Linked DNA regions of Drosophila melanogaster. The protein of the gene in region 3 interacts with the protein of the main gene of each other region in a pairwise test. Each region holds a gene or a part of one and is shown on either strand. Other genes may lie near its edges.

Region 1 (8,527 bases), about 10 Mb from region 3:
TTCTTTACTTCCCATTGTTCGATCAATATTTGTTTTAACTAGATTATGTTTATTCATAATTCGCTGTATGCATATACAATTATTATAATTCTACGAAGCAAAAAAGTGTTAAGTTCATAAAACTATGTACGTTTACCTCTGGTGCGGTCAATTGTATTGAGTATTCCTTTCTATTCCTTAATGCTTAACTTTTGGTCCAGGTTCATACCGCTCGCGATGGCGTACACGGTGAAGGCGAACTTGGCTACCTGCAAGGATTGAAGTTCGGACTTTGCTTCCTTCCCCGTTCTAACCGAGAGCAGTGGACTTACATTGATGTTAGTGGCCAAATTAATGTTAAATATGTTCATGGCGGTGAAGGTCATGGGCTGCTGCAGTTTCTGCAGGAACTGGATGACAGTCCGCTGGTATCGCTTGTCCTGCACCCACCAGGCGGAATGGAAAAGTGCGTGGGCCAGTTCTTTGCAGTCGTCCACGATGGCGTTGCAGTAGAAGCAAAGCGGAAAAGTCTGCAGAAGGACGGCCATAACGTAGATGACTATGCCGAATCGGGTCGATTGATCAGCGAACAATACCATGTTGATCATAATTATGCCCAGGATCGATCCGCATATGATGAATTGGGCAAATATCGTGCCAGAGATGATTGGTTGAATGGCATCACAAAAACTGCATGGGAAACAGTGGGATGGGTTTTTAACATTGAAAATTTAAATTAATGCATATATTTTAAAAAATGTAAGCTAATTTATTTGAAATAAAATAGTTTTATGTCGAATCGTTTGATATACCATTTATTTTATCCTGAATGTAAAAATATACTCTTATATATTCAGAAATATCAATAGCGAGTTCTTATAAAAGTTGTACTTTTATTCAGTTTTCCGAATAAATTCAGATCCGTTGAGTGAAAACATAATTCACGGTTGTTGATATTTCCGGTAGGATAATGAAACTGACTTACTTTAGCATGGTTCTGTGTGCCTTGATACAATCCACCAACGATTTAAACATGTAGCTCGGGTCGCTGCTACCCTCGTTGCTGGGATCGCCCAAGTAAATGATACGGTCCTTGAGCAAGAGAATATGAGTTCGCAGGGCTGCCACGTAAATCACAGGGTAGGAATCGGTGGCGGTGGCCACATATATGGCATAACCCACGGTGAAGTACTCCAGAAAACTCTGGATGTACATCTGGGTCCGATCGACTCGCCAGTTTATGAACGGATAGTACGTATTGTAGGGAACACGGTGGTGCAGTAGTCCGTCCAGTAGCGTGGAGGTGGCGTAGAGGACGTAGACCACGACGAAGGTCAGGTACAGTCTTGTAATAGTGGCCACCATGTCGCGAACCTTGCGCTTCTCCGCCGGCTTCACGCAGTACTTATCCAATTCGTCAAAGTGCTTGTTGGCCAGCTCCAAGCGGTGCGTATAGACGATCAGAGTGAAGAACTTCAGAGCGAAGCACCAAGTGTTGAGGCACAGTTGCAGGGATTGCAGCAGCAGCTCCGGCGGGAACTCCGCCAGATGTATCACATAGTTGATTGGGAAACTTACGGGAAGTATCACCATATTGTAGGTGAACGAAAACACCCTCCAAATCTTGCGGCCTATACCGAAATCGTTCTTCAAATTCAAGCCCGAATTTCGCAGCGTCTCCATCATGTATGCATTCGAATCCCTAGACTGTATGGGCTCCGATATAGGAGCCGGATAGACGAGCTTAAAGTGTCCGAACATCTAAAGTTTCGAATGTTTAAGGCTATAATATAACTGGCGATAGGAGGAGCTCGGAATGCTTTTATAGTCCGCGATTTGTAGTTCTTAATTAATGTTTGCCAATTTAGTAGGCGTTCCTCTTTTGGTTGCAAAGAATTTTACACATGTGATAACATATCAAATTATTAAACCATATTTCTGTGTGATTATAGACATTGGCCTTTAGGGTGTTTTTTTTTTAAATGATTTTTTCTGATAGTTCCTTAAAAATGGTTGCCAATTTAGTGGGCGTTTCTCTTTTGGTTGCAAAGAATTTTACACATGTCATAACATATCAAATTATTAAACGATATATCTGTGTGATTATAGACATTGGCCTTTAGGGTGTTCTTTAAAAAATGATTTTGGCATTTTCAGATTTAAATTGTGTTGCAATACTTCTTTCGGTGGGAACAGACACTTGTTAAATTAAAATGTGAACGGACAAATTCAGTCTGCCCTACAGCTACAGCTTAAAGATTTACATATTTGTTTGCACGAATTTGCTTGTCTTCTAAATTATACACACATATCTTCTTAGTTATGTCGTCATGTCCTCTTAAAATGTATAAAAATTTACCAAAGAATATCACTACTAGATCTTTGATTGCTGCGGCGCGAAAATCTAACAAGGAGATCAAAAACTGCCAGCAAGCAGTGCCACATCTGGAATCCTCAATCCTCGTCGTCAAGTGTGAGTACTTTTGTCTGGAAGCGCATTCGTTTGGTATTCTTTACTACACCGTTGGTGAGCAGGTTGGCCCCTCGATCCGGACAGGGCAGTTCATTCCATAGGCGCTTTACGCGCACCACAGCCTCAGTATTGAAGTCGTATCTCTTGGGGGCGGAAGATGGTTCAGGTACAGACGCAATGGTTGGGAGTTTGCGTAGTTTGACAACTGGCTGCAGCTGGCGGCAGCTGCTATAGCTGCTCACACTGGCCTTATCGTCGACATCCTCGGCGGACTCCGCGTTTCGTTCACATCCATTGCCGGCCAGCGAGCAGCCTCGCTTCTGCGGAGATTCTTCTTCGGATTTGGCTGCACGTAAGCTGAAATATTAGGTTGTCTTAGTAATATAAGTCAACTTCAATAGCTAATGTAATACTTTTCCTGTTTCTCGTACTCATTCAAAGTGGGTGGTGCTGCAGCGCATATTTTACCCGGCTCCTCGGGATGACAGCCCATGTCCTGACCTTTCAGCCAATTATCGTATCGCTCTGGCTGGAAACGGCGTACGAAGGTCTCCATCGAGATCTTAACCATGTCGCTGCGGCATCGGCAAATACTAGCCCGCTTGCCGTACTCGATCCAACGCTTCGACGCAAAGTTGGTCGACTCGGCGCCGTTGAAGCCATGATTGAACCCGGCATGGTAGCCGAAGGGAAATGTAATCATGATTTCGCCCGCTTCCTGCGTGATCTTGTTGTAAGGTATGTTGTGCTGGCGCAGCACCTTCGGACTGATCATGGTCATCTTATGGCGAAGATAGGCATTGCATTCCTGGTAGTTCTCAGAGAAGGTTTCGTTCGCCAGCTTCTCCAGACGTCTGCCATACGCCGGCGGAATGGCGTACCAGGTTTTGGGTGCTCCAAAATGCAGATAGTTAATAGAATACAGATCCATGTCCTCGGTATGCCAGGCAAAAGAGCTCTTCCACATGCCAAAGTAGAGGTAAGCCGTGTTTACCCCATCGATGATTATGTTGTAGTCAGTGTTGACCAAGTTTAATATGGTGTCCAAGCGTCCAATGTTCCAAACGTCAAGGTCTTCATCACTCAGCGATCCCTTGACATCGGCTGCATACAGTGGCGATATGTAGGTGATGTTCTTCCAGTACTTGCGCTCCAGATCGTCGTAGTCGAAGTGCCTCGGTGTCTGGTGCAGCTCCGAGTTGGCCTTCTCCATGAATTGGCGCAAGGTCATCTGCCGGCGCTGCTGGATGTTGATTTGCTGGTACACCCCGTGCGCCCTGCATTAACATTCAAAAGTTTTCCCTTATTTTTGTCCATTGAGTCGTAAATGAGAAGCACTTACCCAGTGACTACTTGGCAAATCGGCGCTGGAATGGTCATGTTGATGTTGTCTATGTCGTAGCCCGACTTTCGGGGCACCCATTCCGCAGGTGGCTGCATATAAAAAAATACCAATTTAATTATATTTATGTGCAAAGATGTAGTTGGGGGCTGGGCCAGCTTACTTGGATTTTGGCCAAGCCGGCTAAGTGTGCTCCCCGAGACTCAATGTACTCAATGTAGGCGGAAAAATTTTGAAACTCCTCGTAGCTGGGACGGAAGGTCATGATACGGGGCACTTTGTTCTGCTCTTCATCGGCGAATGAAGATCTCGTGGACATATTGAAGGAGCAGCAAAAAAATTAAGCAAGCGAAACGAATCTCCTTTGCCTAGTGTGACCAGATAACAAGAAGTATAATATACAAAGAAATTATCGTTTTTCCGTTACAATAATATTTTGAAGAACAACATTTTTAAAGAAAATTTTAAAAAGATTTTAAGTATTTATTGCAGTACTGGTAAGGTATAAGGTATATATACAAGGTATATAAATGGAAATTAAATGAAATTAAATAAATAAGTAATAATAAGTATTTTTTAATAATCAAGATACATAATATAAAAATATCATATATTTAATTATTTAGTATGGAATTGGATGGCCTTTGTATTACTTTAAAATTCTAAAAATGAAAATTAGATCGCTTGGAGGAACAGCATATTTTTTTTACCAATTCGGCTACACATTGCCAACAAATCGTTCTTATCCCTACCAATTTGGAACCACATGTTTTAATTCTATTTTATAATGAATGGATACAAAACATAATTAGCTATTGCAATACATATTTACAGTATGAAACTAACCCATAAACAAGAGAGAATGCTATGGTCGAGTTCCTCGACTATCAGATACCCGTTACTCAGCTAGTGTGAATGCGAACACGAAATTTCGTAATTTTTCTGGGATATCTATAGATATTGGGGAATAAAATAAGAAAAAATTAAAAAATATTTCAAAATGAACGGCTTAGCGGCGTTAAAATGGGTGTGGCAAAAATTTATTTATTGGCAATCTATGTGAATGTCAAAAAATGTCAGTGCAGATTCTTGTATTTTGTCAATTTTAGCGTTTGGATCATTTTCTTATCGAACAAACGCAAAAGATCTCAAGGCATTAATGTAATCAACAACGTAAACATTACAACTATAGGGCTCTTTTGATCACAAGATGTGGTCTACGTGTTTCGTTGTTATATTCTCCTAATACGATCAAATACTTCTTAATAAGAATTACTATATTTATTATTAGCTACTTAAATGGTATGACAAATCATTTAAATCATGGCATGCATCACATAGTTAATTTTGAACAGGAGTACTATCTTTTTCGCATATCTATCACATAGAAGTTGCACACTCCGCAGTGATAAAGATTTAAAGCCACTTCAAATATTACAAAACGTCTTCGTTTGAATTATAAATGTCGTGGTACTTTCTCCTTACATAATACTTGATTGCCCCTCTGACGAAAGCCTTGAAGGCTGACACATGGTATATCTTAGCTATAAAGGCTTTCCCCAGAATCTACTTGGGATCAAAAGTGTTGACAGCGCTAATCGGAAGCTGTAAAACAATTAGGCCAGGATAATCAAGAGAATTCTGTGGAAAGTGCACACAACAAGAGATAACAATTGAATCATTGGCTCTAAAAGGGATTTCGAGTGCAGGCCAGTAACATCCCATATATGTACATATGTATACGTATCAGATAACCCTTTCTATATAAATTACTGATCCACTTTTTATAACAACTGGAATAATACGATCGGTTGTGTTCAATCGCTTACAATCGTAAAAGAAAATCAAAGCGAAGACTTAATGTAATTTGCATTGGATTGAACAATGAGGGGCAAGTGCCGAGCACTTTGGTGGCGGTTTATGGGTTTATGATTATTGCCGCGATAGTGACGGACGATCTGCGTGGCCACTTGAGACCTGGAGGCGGAGCCGCGTGTAATCAGGAGACTGCGATTTTGTGGTATCAGTATAAAAGCGAAAGGTACAACAATCGCTCCGCAGTTTACCATCGTTTTCGGGGCCAGCCACTTCGGACAGACTGATTTCCACATCACCGAGTTATTATAAATAAATCAGAAAGACATCTAAAATGGGTTTCGAACCCTCTGAGGATAAGGCAAGGCGTAAGTTTCGGATCGAAGAGAAAATCACTGCTGATTAAGATAGTATTAGAGTGTCATATTTCACATATTTCGAAATAAAAGCACAATAACTAGAGTTTCATAGAAAACCTTCGAGAGATTCCCAAAATATCAAAATTCAAGTGTGAATAGGTTTGATAAGGTGTGCACCGTGAACATATGGAGTTACTGGAATCGAAAATATTAAATAGAATAATATATATGAAAAAAAAATTATAAAGAACAATATTTTTACCAGCTGGTTCCCTTGCTAAATTAAGTCACTGTGGGCTGTGGACGTACACGTAGTGACGAAGCGCACCAGGATACTTTTTTAAATATTTTTACAAAGCTTAACGATTTAGTAGATTTTTAATTAATAAAATCTTTTGTTTTGTAAAGTCAAGTGCAAAATCATTTTTCGTCACAAAAGTTGATATCAGAACTTTAGTATCTTGTGAGGGTTCGTTCGTCACTTGTTTTAACTTAAAGACATAAATTACATATAGAGCACTATCAGTATCAGTTATACCGCTGCTCTCTTAATCTTCTCCATAAGTGCTCTTCACAAACCACTAGACCTACCCTAAGAGTTTGGTCAATGTTATTACAATCCAGACGTCTGGCTATATATTTGCAAACCATATCTTGATAAATCTTATATCAGACATCTGCCGAGACTTACGACTTTATGAAGATCAACAGAGATAAATCGGCCTGACACAAAGAAAATATTTATTAACTGCGCGAAGGTTGGCCAACGTGTTCATCTGCAGGGAAAGCAATTTCTGGCGATCTAATCTGAATATCCATCCAGTTCAACTTCATAGGAGGAGGCAATCGAGCTTTACGACTGTATACACACGTTTGGTCCCACGGTGGAGTCTCCACCACTACGCGAACTTTTCCATTGAGACCACACAGCTGCTTTTGTTTTCCTCATTGGCAGGCGTTAATGATAATGAAAATATTATTATAATAAAACCCAAAGAGTTCCGTCGGAGCCGCAATTAATGAAATCATCACTATCAGAGCATTGTTAAACGGCAATAAACCGTAGATTGAGGTCCTAGAAAATATCGACCAAGTGACAACAATTTGCACCGTGCACTTATAATGGGGCAATCAATAAATCGGATGGCCAGACGCCAGTTAAATTCCTAACTGATCAGACATGGTTTATTATTCCAGTGGAGAGAGAAGACCCCTGCTAGTCAGAGTAGTTCCGAATCCGCTTAGGAGACTAGCCTGTAAATGAGCGTATCTTTAATCTCTAAACTAAATAAATCATTTACATACCCATCTCAGCTGGAGGTCTTGGCGTGCGACACTGGCAGGCGGTTCTTCTGTTCGTGGGCATGATGATCAACTACTTCCAGCGGGTGAACATCTCGGCTGCCATTGTGCCCATGACGCAGTCCACCGCGGGGGCTCCGTTCTACACCTGGGATACGTCGGACAAGTCCCTGATCCTCAGCAGCTTTTTCTGGGGCTATGTGGTCTCCCAGGTGCCGGCAGGTGAGTGGCTGCAATCTAGGCCGGAATCTACTCGTACTTACCACCTGCTTCACAATTTTGTAGGACTGCTTGCCAAGCGATTTGGAGCCAAGTTAGTGCTGGGCCTGGCGACTGCAATCGGAGGTATTTTGTGCTTCTTCCATCCCATTGCAGCCAAAAGCGGGTGGCAGAGTATCTGCGTTCTGCGCGTTCTTACCGGTCTGGTCCAGGGCACGGTTTATCCGTGTGTCCACACGCTGCTGGCTAAGTGGGTGCCACGCACTGAGCGGGGACTGCTAACCACTGGCGTTTATTCGGGAGCACAGTTCGGAACGGCTGTCATCCTGGTCACCAGTGGCTTCATCTTCGAATCCAGCATGGGTTGGCCAGGGTTGTTCTACCTTTCCGGAGGTCTCAGCCTCGCTTGGGCGCTGCTTTTCTTTTGGCAGGCCGCCAATGAACCGGTTACAGCCAGCAGGATCAGCAAAGGCGAGGTGGAGTATATCGAAAGCCTTACGGGCAGCAACAGCTCCAGTCAGGTGAGTGAAGATGTGATAGGTTATTTGTAGAGCAATTGTAATGGAGCAACCTCTTTTTAAAGTCTATGCCTGTGCCCTGGATGTCGATCTTTAGGTCGCCAGCCTTTTACGGTCTGCTGGCAGCCCATTGTGGATTCACCTGGGGTTTCTACACGCTGCTCACCGAAATGCCCACTTACATGAGCATGGTTCTGCAGCTAAATGTCAAGTCCAATGCCTTCCTCTCCTCGCTGCCGTACTTTGCTATGGGCCTGCTCTGCTTTGTGGTCAGTCCCATATCGGATTTGCTTATCAACAGAGGCACTATATCGATCACCACGGCTCGAAAGCTGTTTAATTCGATTGGACAGTGGGGACCGATGGCTTGTTTGATTGGACTGGGCTACATGACAGCCGATGAGAAAACGTGGGCCATTCTTCTGCTGACACTGGCAGTGGGCATCAATGCGGGCTGTTCCTGTGGATATCTGATCAATCACATCGACCTGTCGCCCAACTTTGCCGGCCCAATGATGGG
Region 2 (7,062 bases), 6.8 Mb from region 3:
CAATCCACTCAGCTTGTGTCTCTTGGTGATCATCACTCCGTCACTGATTGCAGCCAATCCCCTGTGGAGTCTTGACCAGGTGGGAGGTATGTTTACATTACCCCTGGATTTCTGGCAAGGATTACACACATGTCGATCTCTTCAGCATACTTCACTGGCATCTTCCGCTCCGTAGTGGGTCCAATATTTGGCTTTGGCCTGGCAGCCAACAGCACCGCCTTATAAAGATTGTTCTGCTTACCGCACCAGTCCGAAGGGAACCGGCAGCTTCTCGACCACATCCACCACGCAATTGTCCAGCTGCTTGAGGATCAATTGGGCGGCATAGAAGCCGGCGGGTCCGGCGCCTACGATGCATATCCGCTTGGTGGGCGTGGTGCTCTGGATCACCTGCAATCGGGCGGAACTCGTGTGGAGGCCACGTCTGAAGATGTTAAGGCAATTGATGCCCATCGTGGATCAGTCGCCGATCTCTGCTACTGGGAAAGCAGCTCGTTTTCGTATCTTACAGATAATCAGTCGGTTTGCTAGGTGATCTTCTCAAAAAAGTTTTTTGCTAACGATGATTTCTTATTTACTCGTTATCTCTCGAAAGACTTTCGCCAGCAGTCCCCAAAATACCCAACGGAATCCAAACAAAACAGAGTATTTGCTCTCATTGCGTTATGGTAACACTACGTGATTTCGGTTTAATTTAATTTTTCTGAGATGAAAATTCCTATGAAAAATCTAAAAATATATGACCCCAAGCACCGACAGTACATTAGTAATAGAAAGCTAGGAAAGTAAGGATGTTTTAATATTGTTATACAGACAGTTGCAGCGGAGCAAGAATTTAAATTGCGCGCCTTTTTGATACTTGATACTCTCATAAGGCGTTTAAATATACATATCACTCCTTTCATTTCTAAAAATATTGAAAATTAACAAGAAGTATTTATTATTATAAAAAAATATTGAAGCATTTACAGAAATGTTGTAATAAATGTACTAAAAGTCAAATAATAAATGAAATAAATACTTTTTGAGATTTTATTTTAAAATTTTTCGCGTGCGATCAATAATTATAGTTACTTTTCTTGATATTTGTTAGGAGAAAAGTGTTTTTGGCACCTTGTGTACCATAACGAATATATTCTTATCTTGTGACCTAAAGTTTAATTAATTTTATTGCTCGAAAAAGCCATCATAAATTAAATGTGCTTTTCTTGGACATTTGAATTTGTATGATTTTATTTCTATTTGCCATTTTCTACAGGCTTCTACTGGATACGATTTATTTCGGGTGCTTCTGTAAGCGTAACACAGCGAATTTGATTGGCTAATGGTGAGTGAGTGTTCCGATAACTCGGTCCTCAATCATGATTGAGGGCCAGATGACGCTTGGCGTCGATGGTGGAACGGCCATAGGTGTTGCCCACACGAAATTTGTTGCCCGGAACGTGGCCGCCGTAGCGTGGAATCATGCCTACCACCCGCGGATAGATCACGCCATTGGGATTGGCGAATGAGCGGCCCACGCCTGCCTTCTCCACGGGCACCCATTCCGCGCTGCGGATGAAATGCATGTCGTTCTTCGGGTAGCACCATCCCTCATCCGGCAGATGGAAGTCGAAACCAAATCCTAGAAGGGCATGTTGACACATTAGATTAATAGATAAGTCATGGTTGAGCTTTTAACTTACGGCTGGAATAGGACATGTTTTTTATTTCCGCAAAAATTGTTGATCCTTTCCGAGTGTTGCTGCTTAACTGGGTAACTGGAAACTGAATTTAACTATTAATAGCTGGCCTGACAGGAGAAGCTTCGACAAAACGACCCCGTTTCCCATGACAACGGAGGCCAGGATTGGACGGATTGCCTAGATGGCAGCAACAAGTTAGGTCACGACACCGATTTGCATTTCCTGATGCCGTATTTTAATGGCAATTAATTCGACTCGTCGTAACAACACAATTACCGTGGCATTTAAAAGAGTTATGGGGTACGTTTTATTTTATTACGTTTACTGGTTTATGATTTAGTCATTTACAGGGCGATTGTATTGATTAACAAGATGGAAGGTCTCAGGGCCGGAAAGTGCACTACGTCAATGATATCCTCGCCTCCATCTCCTTCAGTTTGACTTCTTGGCCTTCTTCTGTTGCTTGCTCTTCAGTTTCTCCTGCTTCTTGAGCTCCTTTTCCGTCAGGGATTTGTACAGCTTGTAGCCAAAGAGAGCTGTAATGCGGAAAGAAGGGAGACGGTTAGTAAGGTGACGTTGATACATTATGCGATCAAGGGAACTGAGACCGAATATGGAGACCAAGAGAAAGATCACTGCCGACACTATGGAACTGGAGTAGGTCTGTGCGAAATGGGCGTGCTGCACTATTCGCTCCTCGATTCTGCCAATCGTCTGCTGGAACTTGTCCTTCATCTCGGCGAGAAACACATGCCGATCCGTTTCGGCCAGGGACTCCAGCTTGCTCTGCATCTCGCCGATCCGCTGGACGAGATCCTTGGAGAACTTGCTGCTGGGCCCAGTTTTGGCCACGATCGACTCCACGGACTTTTTCAGCTGCTCAATAACCCCGAGCTCGTCACTGGAACCCGACCAACTCATGTTTTGGGTTGTTCGGAAAAGGGGCTAAGTGGTGTGTCAACTACAGCCCGGCATGGGTCTCTGGCAAATACTGCTCTTTGGATTCCACTCTACCTATGTCTGCGGTGGATCCTACGCTTACCACTGGTTATCTTATCAAAAATCGAACGCTTTTAAACGAAGCAAACATTCTAGCTGTGGCTCGTGAGCGAGTGAGTGAGTGCTTCGACATAGCCGCCTCCTAAAACCTTATCGCCCTTTAAGCAGAAACCCAGGTGGGTGCGTATATCGCGCCCGATAAGGGTTATACGACTCGTTAGTGGCTCGTTCCGGAGGACGCTTACCAAAGACAATGAGTATGAGGGCCAGCATCACGAAGAACACCAGGTACTCCCGGGAACTGTGGCCCGGATGCCCGTACTGGCGCATGAAGTCCTCCGGCGACGGCGGCTTCGGGTTAAAGATGCTCTCGCGGAGCTCGGCTCGCTCGTCGTCCGAAATTCCCTCCATGCCCTCGACCAGCTTCCAGATCTCCTCGGCACTGGGCATCTTAAAGTCGGGATGTCCGGGCTCGGGACCGGCAAAACCGCCGGCTCCTCCAGCCGCAGCGGCAGCTGCCACGTCCTCAGCGAATGCCTGCTGGTTCACCGGATCCTCAGCCATGATCTAATCTCTGTTTGGGGCTTTAATTTACGGGCTGGGTTCTGTGGGCTCTTTGGCTTTTAGCGGTTCGCGTCTGAATGGATGGTATATAGGAAATCATGGTATTCGGTTTATGGTTCTACTTTCTGCATTTCAGCATGCTATTGGGGGGGCAAACAAAATCACAGAAACAAACAACGTGGCAAAACAAACGAATCGAATTCGAAAATGGATTTTGATTATCTATAACACAAGTTTGACACGCGGCATGCAGAGATAATAACGATTGTACAAATCACATAAACTACGATATTTAATCCCCCCCAAATCGCACACTTTCCAATATTAACTAATTTTGGCGCTAGATCGCCGGTGCTTACGTGCTCCGGCTTCTGCTGTTTGGGAGGACTGAATGAGTCTCTCTAAAACTTATATTAAAATCAATATAATTATAAGCCGCCACTCGTGTGTAATCAGTCGCTTGTATTTCATTATTCCCAGATATGCCCACTAGTTAACTTTTCGCTGCGCTTTTCGTTTTGCCTCCTGCCTTCGTCAGCATATTTTCAAAGGTGATCGCAAGAAGTTGGCATTGCGGAGAGCATATGTGTGCATATGCGATAAGGGAGAGCCACTAATCAGTGCCGGACACACGAGTACATAAAGACAAAACCCCAGTAAAGAGTGCCGTCCCATTCGCGAGCGATAGATGGCTACAATGTTACAAGATGGCCACCATATAAACGTCTACAGTTTGAATTGTTCAAGACGAACATCGCGAACTGATTTTATAGATCTTTTATTAATTTCTGCAATATCAAGCACTAGAATTGGAATTCAATGTTTCAGCTAATATAAATGTTATATCAAGATAACACTTCTAATCTTTCTACCTATAAAACATATACAACGCTCATTTAGAAATGGCTTTTTTAATTAAGTTACTTTTGGAACCAATATGTTTTGCTTGAAGATCTCTGCAAAAATACGCTAGCAATGTTCAAAATAGAGATGCTGGAAATTCGAAGATTTCAAAAAGGTACGTTTTGCGGCGGAGGTTTGACTGTACGACAGAGTCTATTGAACGGTGGCAGGTCGACTCCTTATCAGAGGGCCATTATCGCTCTTGAGAACCACAAACTTTTGACTACGTACGCAAGAAAACCGGAATGAGACGGACTGGCCAGATGGAACACGTAAGACAAAAGATCGCAAAGGCAATCCGAATCGAGGGTATCTCAAATCAAAACAGATAAGAACGAAAAACCAAACATCCAACAGCTGTGCATATCAAACGGCCAGCAAGCACTTGACTAAGTTGCTCGCTTGGTGAAAGTCTTTCGACCCATTTAGTCGCGGTTTCGCTACGACTATAAAGATATTGCATGCATAACACTGGGGAAAGGAGGGGTCTAAAGGTGGTAGCTAATAAATGAAGGGGGCCAGGGGAGGGGATCATCCGCAACTTACCTGCCAGGGTAAAAACAACAATTGCCGGCACGTAGAAGGCGAAGTCGGGAATGGATTGCTGGAACGGCGAGCCGGCGTCGGTGAGGTCAACCATGTTGGATCACTGCAAGATTGTCTTAAGGGTCTTTGGAAGAGCACTTGTGCGTCTGCACTACAGTTCGGGCGTTCCGCTTGCGACTTTATCTCAACAATTACGAAAAAAAAACGATTCGGAGAAGAGGAAGCTGCGATTGTCAGACGAAAATGTTGTACTCCCTACGATTCATCGATATAGTGAAGGCTTGTGAACAGAACTCAGATAACAGTGGTCCGGTCACACTAACAGTCGATTACAAGTTATCGCTACCAACCGCTAGCCGCAAAAATTTAAATTTCATCGGTCAACATGTATAATTGCATATTGTATATAAATGTAAGATTGTTTATTATTATTGTTTATTATTAATTTAATTATTAGTTTAATTCTAAATGCGGTAATTATATAAAGTATTCTTAGTTTGTGACCGAACGACTGCTGCTGAGAACTCGACTGACTGCAACGCTGACTTCCACTCGACTCCACTGCTGCCTTGCGATCGTTCCTTCGATGACTGATTGTCGATAACTTCGATTTCCGACAATCATGTTGCTGCTCAACAGCGCTGCCAACCGGGTTGTTGCCAGCCTTCAGCCTTACTCCATGTTACATTCGGCCCTCCTGATCATCATCATCCGACCCGGATGACAATAGGTCTGCATTTTCGGCTATGTACTTCCACAACTTCATGTTGTCACAGCTGGTGGATGTGACATTGGGTCCTTCGACGTTTGCTGCTTTTTTAACGTCATATCTGCCATTGTCTTTGACCCCTGTGACTTCGTATGGACCTAAATACCCGCTTGCCATCTTGCGGCCAGCTACAAATTGGGTCCTTTTAATTGCAACCAGATCACCTGCTTTGTATTTGTATTCAGCTCGGCGCTTTTTGTCGTAATTGCGCTTGTAGTCCTTCTGCGCCTGCTCGATGTTGCGTTTTACCAGCTGTCTCATCTCATAGCGGTCCTCGTTGAATTGACAGACCACTTCTTCTTGGAGCAGTTCCAGTAACCGATCCTCAACTCGGGTGTACATCTTGGTGCCAAACATGACCTCAAATGGTGACAGCTTCAGTGATGAATGCACGTGACAGTTGATCGCCTTTTGTACCTCAGGCACATATTTGTACCACTTCGACGGTTCGTCTGAAGACAGCTTTGATATTATTGCCAAAATTAAACGATTTACTCGTTCTATCTGGCCGTTGCCTCTGGCCACTCCAGTAGTTGTGCAGACGTGTTCCACGTTATGGCTGCTCATAAATTGTTCGAACGCACCACTCGTAAAGGCCGTTCCTTTGTCGCTAACAATTCGCTTAGGGAAACCAAAAATGTTTGACCAGTCGGTCAGCCTCTTGACCACTTCTTCCTGTCCGGTTGATTTGGTTGGGAATAACCAGACAAACTTTGAAAACGCATCGACTGTTGCCAGAATGTATTTATACTGTTTGGCCGATGAATCCATTGGCCCCAAATGATCGATGTGTAGTGTGTGCAACGGTGCGTCTCCTTTATCTATGCAATTTAGATATCCCTCCTGCTTTCCCAACTTTTTGCTGTGGATGATACATTTTATACAGTTAGAAATTAGCTTTTTTACCTTGTATTCCAAATGAGGAATAAAAAATTGCTGCTGTATGCTATGCATCGTCTTTTGCAACGACAAATGGCCAACTTCATGTGCGCTTTGAATCACCTCCCTCTCCATTAGTGCAGGGACAACCAGTAGTTCATTGCCATTGACCATACTATACAACAGGCCACCTTTTAGCTTGTAGGGTTGGAATAGACGATCTTTTAGAATTTCCAGGATTGCTCTAATTGAATCATCGTTCTGCTGCGACTTTTTAATACGTGCTGTCAACTCGGATGTTATCATCATGCATGCTTGGGGATGGCGGCTTAAAAAATCAACGTGTCTCATTCTTTCTCCTGCACGATGTTCGGGTTGAAAATTAAAATCCTGCATATAGAGAATCCATGGGCCAACTTCTCTTGGGACATCTGCTTTTTTTGTTGTCTGTTTAAATGCGACACAGTCCGTGACGAGCTTGAAAGGGACTCCCAATAAATAGTGTCTGAACTTTTTCAGAGCTAAGTATGCGGCTTTTACTTCAAGGTAGTAACTATGACGATTTGATTCGGCTTTTGTAGTTTTTCTGCTCCAAAAGCAGACTGGGTGAAAACTGCCTTCGAACTTCTGCAATAAAACGGCTCCTAACCCGTCCTTAGAGGCATCTGTATGAAGTTCGGTTTCTGCTTCTCGTGAGTAGATCCTCAATACTGGTTC
Region 3 (7,696 bases):
TAGAAGCAAGTTTCAAACGAACCTCACAACGAGCAACATGCAGTCACATCTCATCGCCATCCTGCTGGCCACCGTGGCCATTGGCTCCTGCATCGCGAATCCCAACCTCATCTCTGGTCCTTCGCGAATTCTTGAGATAATGAGCGCCACCAGTGATATCCAGCGTAATAATCCACAACTGACCGTAGAATGTTTTGACTACTATAATGACGTATTCAAAACCGAGTATGCGGAGTATGTGGATGAGTACAATCTGTGCGTCGATAAGTATGATGGCGGTTATGAACAGGTTCTGGAACAGTACAATTCCGTTGTCTGGGACCTCAGCAATTCCACCTTCGAATCCTGCATGTTCCTGCTGGACTGCGATAAACAGAATAACAGCGAAAATGCTCTATCCTGCTACTCCACTGAGGTAAGTGAATAGTGATTTGATTTTTTAAATACAATTATTTGATAAGTCTTATTTTGTAAAATTAAAACATTCAAATTCAAATTAATTTTCAGGGTCCGACATATTCCAAGCAGTTGTCGAATGTGGCAGCCAATGCTTCGGTCTCGGTCAGTTCACTGCGTCAGCAGGTCGAAACACTGGTGTTCACCCGTGACCAATGCTGTTCTGCAACGTCCAGGAACTATGAGATCCGCTCCGGCGAGTCCTACGAAGATCTTCAGAAGTGCCTGAGCGGTGAGAATCCTGTGCCGGAAAGAAGCACCACCACTACCAGTTCCAGCTCCAGCTCCAGCACCAGCACCACCGCCGCCAACCCCACTACTACCACCACGACCCCATCTCCTTCAACCACCACCTCATCGTCTTCCACCTCCTCAACAACGAGATCTCCATCGACAGTTGCGCATTTTAGTTCCGTTGAAAACAGCAGTGGCAACAGCCAGCACCGATTTCCAAGAAGACTGGACAATATTTTCAAACATATTCTTTAAGGGTTGAACAATATAAAAGTCAATATCAATAAACTAAAAAGGAACATTGCAAAAAGACAATATTAATAGTGAACAATTAATAAAGTAAACTAATATTAATACTCATTTTTTGGGCTATAACTAGGGGTATAGCTAATGTTTAATGAAAAGTTTGGACTTACAATATTTTGTGGCATATCTTACAATTAAAATGAGATTGTGCTCTAAATAATGTTAAAGAAACTAAACACTTAACTTACAACTATATTTTATATGAGTTGATACAACTGTTTCAATAGCCATTTAAAATTCCAAGCTAGAATAATTTATTTGCCAAGAATACTCTTATCTTCGTCTGAATGGCTTTTTATCCGTTTTCAGTAAACTTCTGATGCAATTGAAAAACAGGCCTAGGGCCTTTGAGAAATGGCAATGGCTTAAGGATTGGCTCCAATCCTTAAACTAAACAGATGGAATCAAGTGATGAAGTCAATCTGGAAACTCAAACGAGAAACTAAAACCCATTGCAACTTACTTAATTAACGGACCGATCTAGGTGGAAAACCGAGTAGGAAACCAACCTGATGCGATGCAAATAAAACTTTTTGCATTTGCCATCAGTCCAAGTTTATCAAAGATCCAGCAGGACACGGACTGGGGGGAGGGGGGGGGGTTGGCATTAGCGGGGAATGGAAGGACAAACATGTAAATCAGCCTGGGAAAACTTTACCCCGGGCAGGACAAATAAAAAGGGCGAGGAAAAAGGAAATCTAGGACGGGACACTTTAAGGTAGCGGTAACAGTTAAATAAACATCAGAGCCATTTTCCTAGCGGTGTTTTTTTTTATTCAATTTTAATTGCATGTGGTGTTATTGTTTGTACAGCTGCCGGTGGCGGCCTTGTTGTCACTGCAATTAAAACAAATTAGAAGCGCTGTGCAAAGGGGAGAAGATTTCACTTTGCCAAAATAAAGCCAATAACTTGGCAAGTCCCAGTATCCTGCGTCCTTGCCGTCTTGCAGCCTGCCTATTGGTTGGTTGGCATTGCGATACCCAAAACACACACACACACACTGACTCAAAGAAGAACACGCAATTAAGATATGCAAATTAGAAGATGTCCTTGCTCCGGCAGCTCCTGTATACCTGATGGCATCTTCACTCCACTGGGCTCTGATAATTATGCAGAGGTATGCAATGGAGACGGCTTTAATCTTGGCCAACCATCTCAACGATAGATTTTTATTTTGGGCAACAATATCGGGTGAAGTGAGTCATTCAACTTTTTCAAATGTAATTATTGTGTTGACCGACAAGCTCTTTTGATAAGCTTGAAATGTGTATTGTTCGGTCATTAGTCATAGAAATTATACCAAAATCAAGTAATCAATCTGTGCCCGAATATCGACTCAGAAATTAATTGATAACGAATTGGGAAATCCTAAAAGCCGCGGTCTATAATTGTTACTTCCCAGTTCGTTACACTCAACCCTAGCATGCCTACTTGTTTACTTTTAGCCAAGTCGAAGGACTTGTCGCACTTACTTCTTTTCACCAATAACATTTAATAATAAGATTGTTTCGCGTTACCTCCGATACTTTCAAGTGGTTTGTGAATATTCCAAGAATCGAACTGTATGACAGACATATAGACTACACGTGTATATTCGCACTATAAACACTCGAAATAGATTAGATTATTTAAGCCTTAAATTCTTAGCTATTTGCTTCCTTTTTTTTTTTAGCAAGCTCGGCAAATTGCGTATGAAGATCAATTCTGGGAAGTATAGAATTCGATCGAATGCTGATCTAGGTGAATAAAAATTTTGGGAGCGGAGTGAAGGAAACCCTTGAACTGGATTTGCCGGGTGGGACCCAATGGAGTGATGGTTATAAAACCGATAAGACTGATAAGACTGACTACGGCCGGGTTTTTGAGATAGCTCGAGTGATAGGCTAAAGCTGTCCAATAACATGGCAATAACATGCGGTTTTTAATGGAAACCAAGGTAGGAATATTATTTTATGGACCACTCAATCGCGACGCCTATAAATACAGCAGGTGCTAGGTGGGATCCAATAAGTACGATTCGATCGCTGGAATAGTTTAAACGTAAACTGTATATAAAAAAAAAAATGCTCGTCAAGTTGTGCGCTATCCTTTTGGCCCTTGGCCTTAGTCAGGCCATTGCGTATCCGCCCCTGCAACTTAGTAATCCGCACCAGAACCTAGTGCAGTTCCTGATACAATCACGTGATCTCGGCAACGATGGTGGACATACCCTTGAATGCTTGGATTATTATCTTCCCCTGCTGAACGACGTTGTGGAGACCTACAAGGCTGATTTAAATGCGTGTTTGGAAACAGCTAGTCAGGAGGTCTCACAGATCAACGACAATACCAAGGAAGAACGAGATGCCATCGATGCCTCAGCCAAGAGCTCCTGCGATGCCCTCACCGCATGTAGTACAAAGGAAGCGGCCATAGATTACTTCCAGTGCTACAGTGAAGCCGTAAGTTGACTTTTGATGTGTTGCCGCGAACATGAACCACTCCCAAATTGATGATTACAAATTATTTTCGCGTTGAAAAAAAAAAAATGATTAGTCAAACACATGATTATATAATCTAATTAAATTGTTAACTTTTAATAGTGATTACCAAATCCAACAGTTACTAAAGTTTTACTTTGCCAGAAACATGATTTTCAGTCTAAATACATATTCGAAATTTAGTTTGCGGTTGATTAAGTTAACTATATAGTATATTTCTATAACATTTACTAATTTTCAAATATTCTACATTTCAGGGCTCCAACAACACCAAAACCATGTTCACCATCTCCGCTAACGCTTCGGAGCTGCTGGCTGCTGTGGAGGAGGAAGTGCGTCTCATCAAGGTGAAGGAAGAGGTGTGCACCAACAAGACCCAGAGGGCCTATGGAGAGAGCTACGGTCAGCTGTACGCGGATTTGGGTGATTGCATTGCTGGCGCTCCAATTCCATCGGAATCCACAAGCACCCAGGCCTCCTCCACGGATTCTTCGACTGATTCGACGTCCGCTTCCACCGAATCCTCTACTGATTCGTCCTCCGTTTCCACCGAATCTTCTACTGATTCGTCCTCCGTTTCCACCGAATCTTCTACTGATTCCTCGACTGATTCTTCCTCCGCTTCCACCGAATCGTCTACTGATTCGTCCTCCGTCTCCACTGAATCCTCAACGGATTCCTCAACTGATTCGTCCTCCGTGTCCACCGAATCATCCACTGATTCGTCGACAGACTCCTCATCCGCTTCCACCGAATCCTCTACTGAATCCTCGTCTGATTCGCCCTCCGATTCTACCGAATCCTCTACTGATTCCTCATCTGTTTCCACGGAATCCACAACAAGTAGTGGTGAAAAGGAAGCGGCGCCTGAGGAGGACTTGAAATCCCTCTCCTCTCAAAACAGCAATGACCTCCAGAAGATTCTAAAGAATCTACGGGTTTGGTTTAAAAATCACTAAGCGATCGTTTTAATTTTAAATAAAAGCATAAACGAATAAAACCCAAATAAATATAAATATCTACTTTATTTATTCGAAAATAAAAACAATAAGTGTTTTTCCATTGGGTAAATAAAAATTTAACTTCATAACTTGAAAAGATGAGCAGTGTGATTTATTGTGAAACCCTCTAAAGATATCCGCTGTTATCAAGTTATCAGGGTATAGTCCCCGTTCAGGCGCCAAAGTACAGTGTTACCCGCCACTTGACTAACCAAACGTTAGCAAATCAATTAGAGGCGGTCAGCCGATAAGCTACCAACTATACTATACCATTACCAGATAACAGGGCTATTTATGGATGTTTGGGTCACAGAAAAACTTATTAAAAATCAAATCGGAAGGAATCATGGCCGATTTTAAGAACACGATAGCAACTTAATTAGCTTTTAATCAGCATGATTTAAAGATTTCTCGATGACAGTTCCAACTACCGAAAATTATGATAGAAGAGAGCTATAAAAATATGAACCAAAGGCCGGTAGCATTCAGTACGTATTCGAGATCCGTTAAGTCGGTCAGTTAAGTGGGAATACTAAAAATGAAGTTCGCTGTTGTCCTGTGCCTGCTATTGGCCACCAGTGGCTTTGCCCTGGTCCCCAAGCATCCCGCCGATCTAGTCTCCATGTTGGCCCGCCAACAGTTCGCCGTTCGAACTTTAATGGCCGCTCCCGAGGCACGGGATGATTCGACCCTGATCAATGACTGCTTCAACCACTACCTGGAGGACCAGACCAACGTGATCATGGGTTACAACCTACAGTACACCGGATGTCTGAGAACAGCACAAAGTGGTCGGGATGAGCTCACTAAGGAGAGCGCCTCGGAGCGCGAAGCCCTTCTGGATCGCACCAACAAAATGTGTTCCAGTCTGACTGAGTGCGATACCCTTGTTGATGGCCTGGAATTCTTCGACTGCTACCGCAATGCCGTAAGAAAAATTATTCACTAATTTAATTATCTCGAAATCTCCAGAAGATGATCTACCTCTTCAAGCACTTACGATTATAATGAAAAGCTCTTTAAAATGTGCCTTGGCCACACACTGGTCTAGATTTCCAATCGTATTGCTTACTGCTCGATTAGAGCGGATTAAAAAAGCGTGCCATTGTCATAAATTCATTCGTATTATCAGACGAGAGCTAAAGTGCTTTATAATGAGTGACAGTCTAACATTAAGGGAATATACAATAAATAGTAACATGCAATATCTTTTAGTCCTCCGACAGCTACAAGGTTATGTTCACCCTGAACAGTGACTCCAGCCTGGACTTCAACCGCATCAGTGCCAAGTACCAAGTGATCGAGACCGATCTTACTGACTGTGTGGATTCAGCTCGCTTGGATTACGCCCACGACATGGACGCCTGCGACGAGAATCTGACGTTGTGCTTAAAGGGAGGCGAGACTTCCCCCGAACCGACTGTTCCCACTACGACCTCTGGGACGCCAGTCACGGTCACTACTCCTGAGGCTCCAGTGTCCACTACTCCTGAGGCTCCAGTGACCACTACTCCTGTAGCTCCATCCACTACTGAAACTCCAGTGCCCACTACTCCTGTAGCTCCATCGACTACTGAGGCTCCAGTGTCCACTACTCCTGAGGCTCCAGTGTCCACTACTCCTGTAGCTCCATCGACTACTGAAGCTCCAGTGCCCACTACACCTGTAGCTCCATCGACTACTGAAGCTCCAGTGCCCACTACACCTGTAGCTCCATCGACTACTGAAGCTCCAGTGCCCACTACACCTGTAGCTCCATCGACTACTGAAGCTCCAGTGCCCACTACACCTGTAGCTCCATCGACTACTGAAGCTCCAGTGCCCACTACACCTGTAGCTCCATCGACTACTGAAGCTCCAGTGCCCACTACACCTGTAGCTCCATCGACTACTGAAGCTCCAGTGCCCACTACACCTGTAGCTCCATCGACTACTGAAGCTCCAGTGCCCACTACACCTGTAGCTCCATCGACTACTGAAGCTCCAGTGCCCACTACACCTGTAGCTCCATCGACTACTGAAGCTCCAGTGCCCACTACACCTGTAGCTCCATCGACTACTGAAGCTCCAGTGCCCACTACTCCTGTAGCTTCATCGACTACTGAAGCTCCAGTGTCAACTACTCCTGTAGCTCCATCGACTACTGAAGCTCCAGTGTCCAGTACTCCAGAAAGCACTACCGAAGCCGCTTCCACTACCGAGCGTTCCCCTGAGGAAGATATCGACAGATCTGGGCGTCTCGGTCAGAGGAGAACTTGGAACCTGTTTAAGCGCTTCTTCTAAGCGTGAGAAACTTTGTATTATTTATTGCATTCAATGAGAAAATTTAGCTACGTATAAAGCGTAGAATACTTTTGGGTTTGATTTCAAATTGTTTTCATAGAGGGACGCGTGCAGGATTTCTGCGGAAGGGGTTCCAAAAATATCAACAAATTGCTGTATTAGTAGATTAAAACTTTTGTTAAATATATAGAAACTGTATGCACACTTTTTGTTTTGAATTCCAAATATATTCAATCAAGTCGGTTGACTAGTGGATTAACCCTCTTGAGTACGACGCTGGGAGTAATCTTATCTCTGATAGATGACGGAGTAATGAGCTTTATCTCGCCTGTCCAACCAGACAAGCGCCACACTATTGACTACTGGTGTTTGCCACTACTCTTAGATCAGAGAGCTTCGATCCACCGGACGACACTGGCAATCACATTGTGCACGTCTATAGATAAGTGGTGCACCTGAACCTTTCATAAATAACTGGCCTTCGGGCTGGTCAATAAAACCGAATGGGGCAGAACCGAGTTATTAGGAAATGATCAATTAGACGCTCGGCACTTGAGCATTTTCGTTGGTTCTTGAGCGCATTCGAGACGGACGATCAAATGGAAGCACTACGTCGATTTTTAAGAACGGAGACTCGTTGTCGCCTCAACGGGATACATACCCTAATATTGTGTGTCCTATTTTTGGGTTTTTCGGTGGCTGGTGAGATGCCGGATTTGTTCACTCCCGAACCGGATCTCACGATAGACGAATGCCACGATGAGTTCACCATTGCCTGTGCCAACGCTTCACTGGTCTTCTCCGATTCCTACGATCTGTGCGAACTGAATGCCAATGAGACCATCATCAATCTAGAGGTCGATGTTGAACTGGAGCGACTCCAAATCGAGTTGGGATCCAGTGCGGTGTGCGGCAATATGCAAATCTGCGATACA

The links. Proteins that work in one complex are often made in the same cells at the same time.
Region 1: the proteins of CG10911 (region 3) and Kdm4A interact in a two-hybrid assay, tested with the Drosophila melanogaster proteins (one large-scale study listed by BioGRID).
Region 2: the proteins of CG10911 (region 3) and CG42336 interact in a two-hybrid assay, tested with the Drosophila melanogaster proteins (one large-scale study listed by BioGRID).

The regions. Positions count from the first base shown.
Region 1 is NT_033778.4:7,920,804-7,929,330, forward strand, and holds Kdm4A (lysine demethylase 4A), read right to left. Parts: upstream 4,186-8,527; 5' UTR 4,114-4,185; coding exon 3,958-4,113; intron 3,887-3,957; coding exon 3,795-3,886; intron 3,730-3,794; coding exon 2,866-3,729; intron 2,810-2,865; coding exon 2,434-2,809; 3' UTR 1,972-2,433; downstream 1-1,971. Other genes in the region: Or43b (odorant receptor 43b), read right to left, coding at 171-248, 312-669, 965-1,740; MFS12 (major facilitator superfamily transporter 12), read left to right, coding at 5,944-5,977, 7,283-7,492, 7,556-8,010, 8,073-8,527. UniProt on the Drosophila melanogaster protein: Probable histone demethylase that specifically demethylates 'Lys-9' and 'Lys-36' residues of histone H3, thereby playing a central role in histone code. Demethylation of Lys residue generates formaldehyde and succinate.
Region 2 is NT_033778.4:11,292,565-11,299,626, forward strand, and holds CG42336 (uncharacterized protein), read right to left. Parts: upstream 2,679-7,062; 5' UTR 2,607-2,678; coding exon 2,118-2,606; 3' UTR 1,972-2,117; downstream 1-1,971. Other genes in the region: dare (defective in the avoidance of repellents), read right to left, coding at 242-453; CG30033 (uncharacterized protein), read left to right, coding at 1-86, 146-225; CG18336 (uncharacterized protein), read right to left, coding at 1,356-1,624, 1,686-1,701.
Region 3 is NT_033778.4:18,049,371-18,057,066, reverse strand, and holds CG10911 (uncharacterized protein), read left to right. Parts: upstream 1-3,000; 5' UTR 3,001-3,060; coding exon 3,061-3,438; intron 3,439-3,734; coding exon 3,735-4,436; 3' UTR 4,437-4,517; downstream 4,518-7,696. Other genes in the region: CG10912 (uncharacterized protein), read left to right, coding at 38-415, 508-945; Muc55B (mucin 55B), read left to right, coding at 5,017-5,406, 5,694-6,761; CG14495 (uncharacterized protein), read left to right, coding at 7,361-7,696.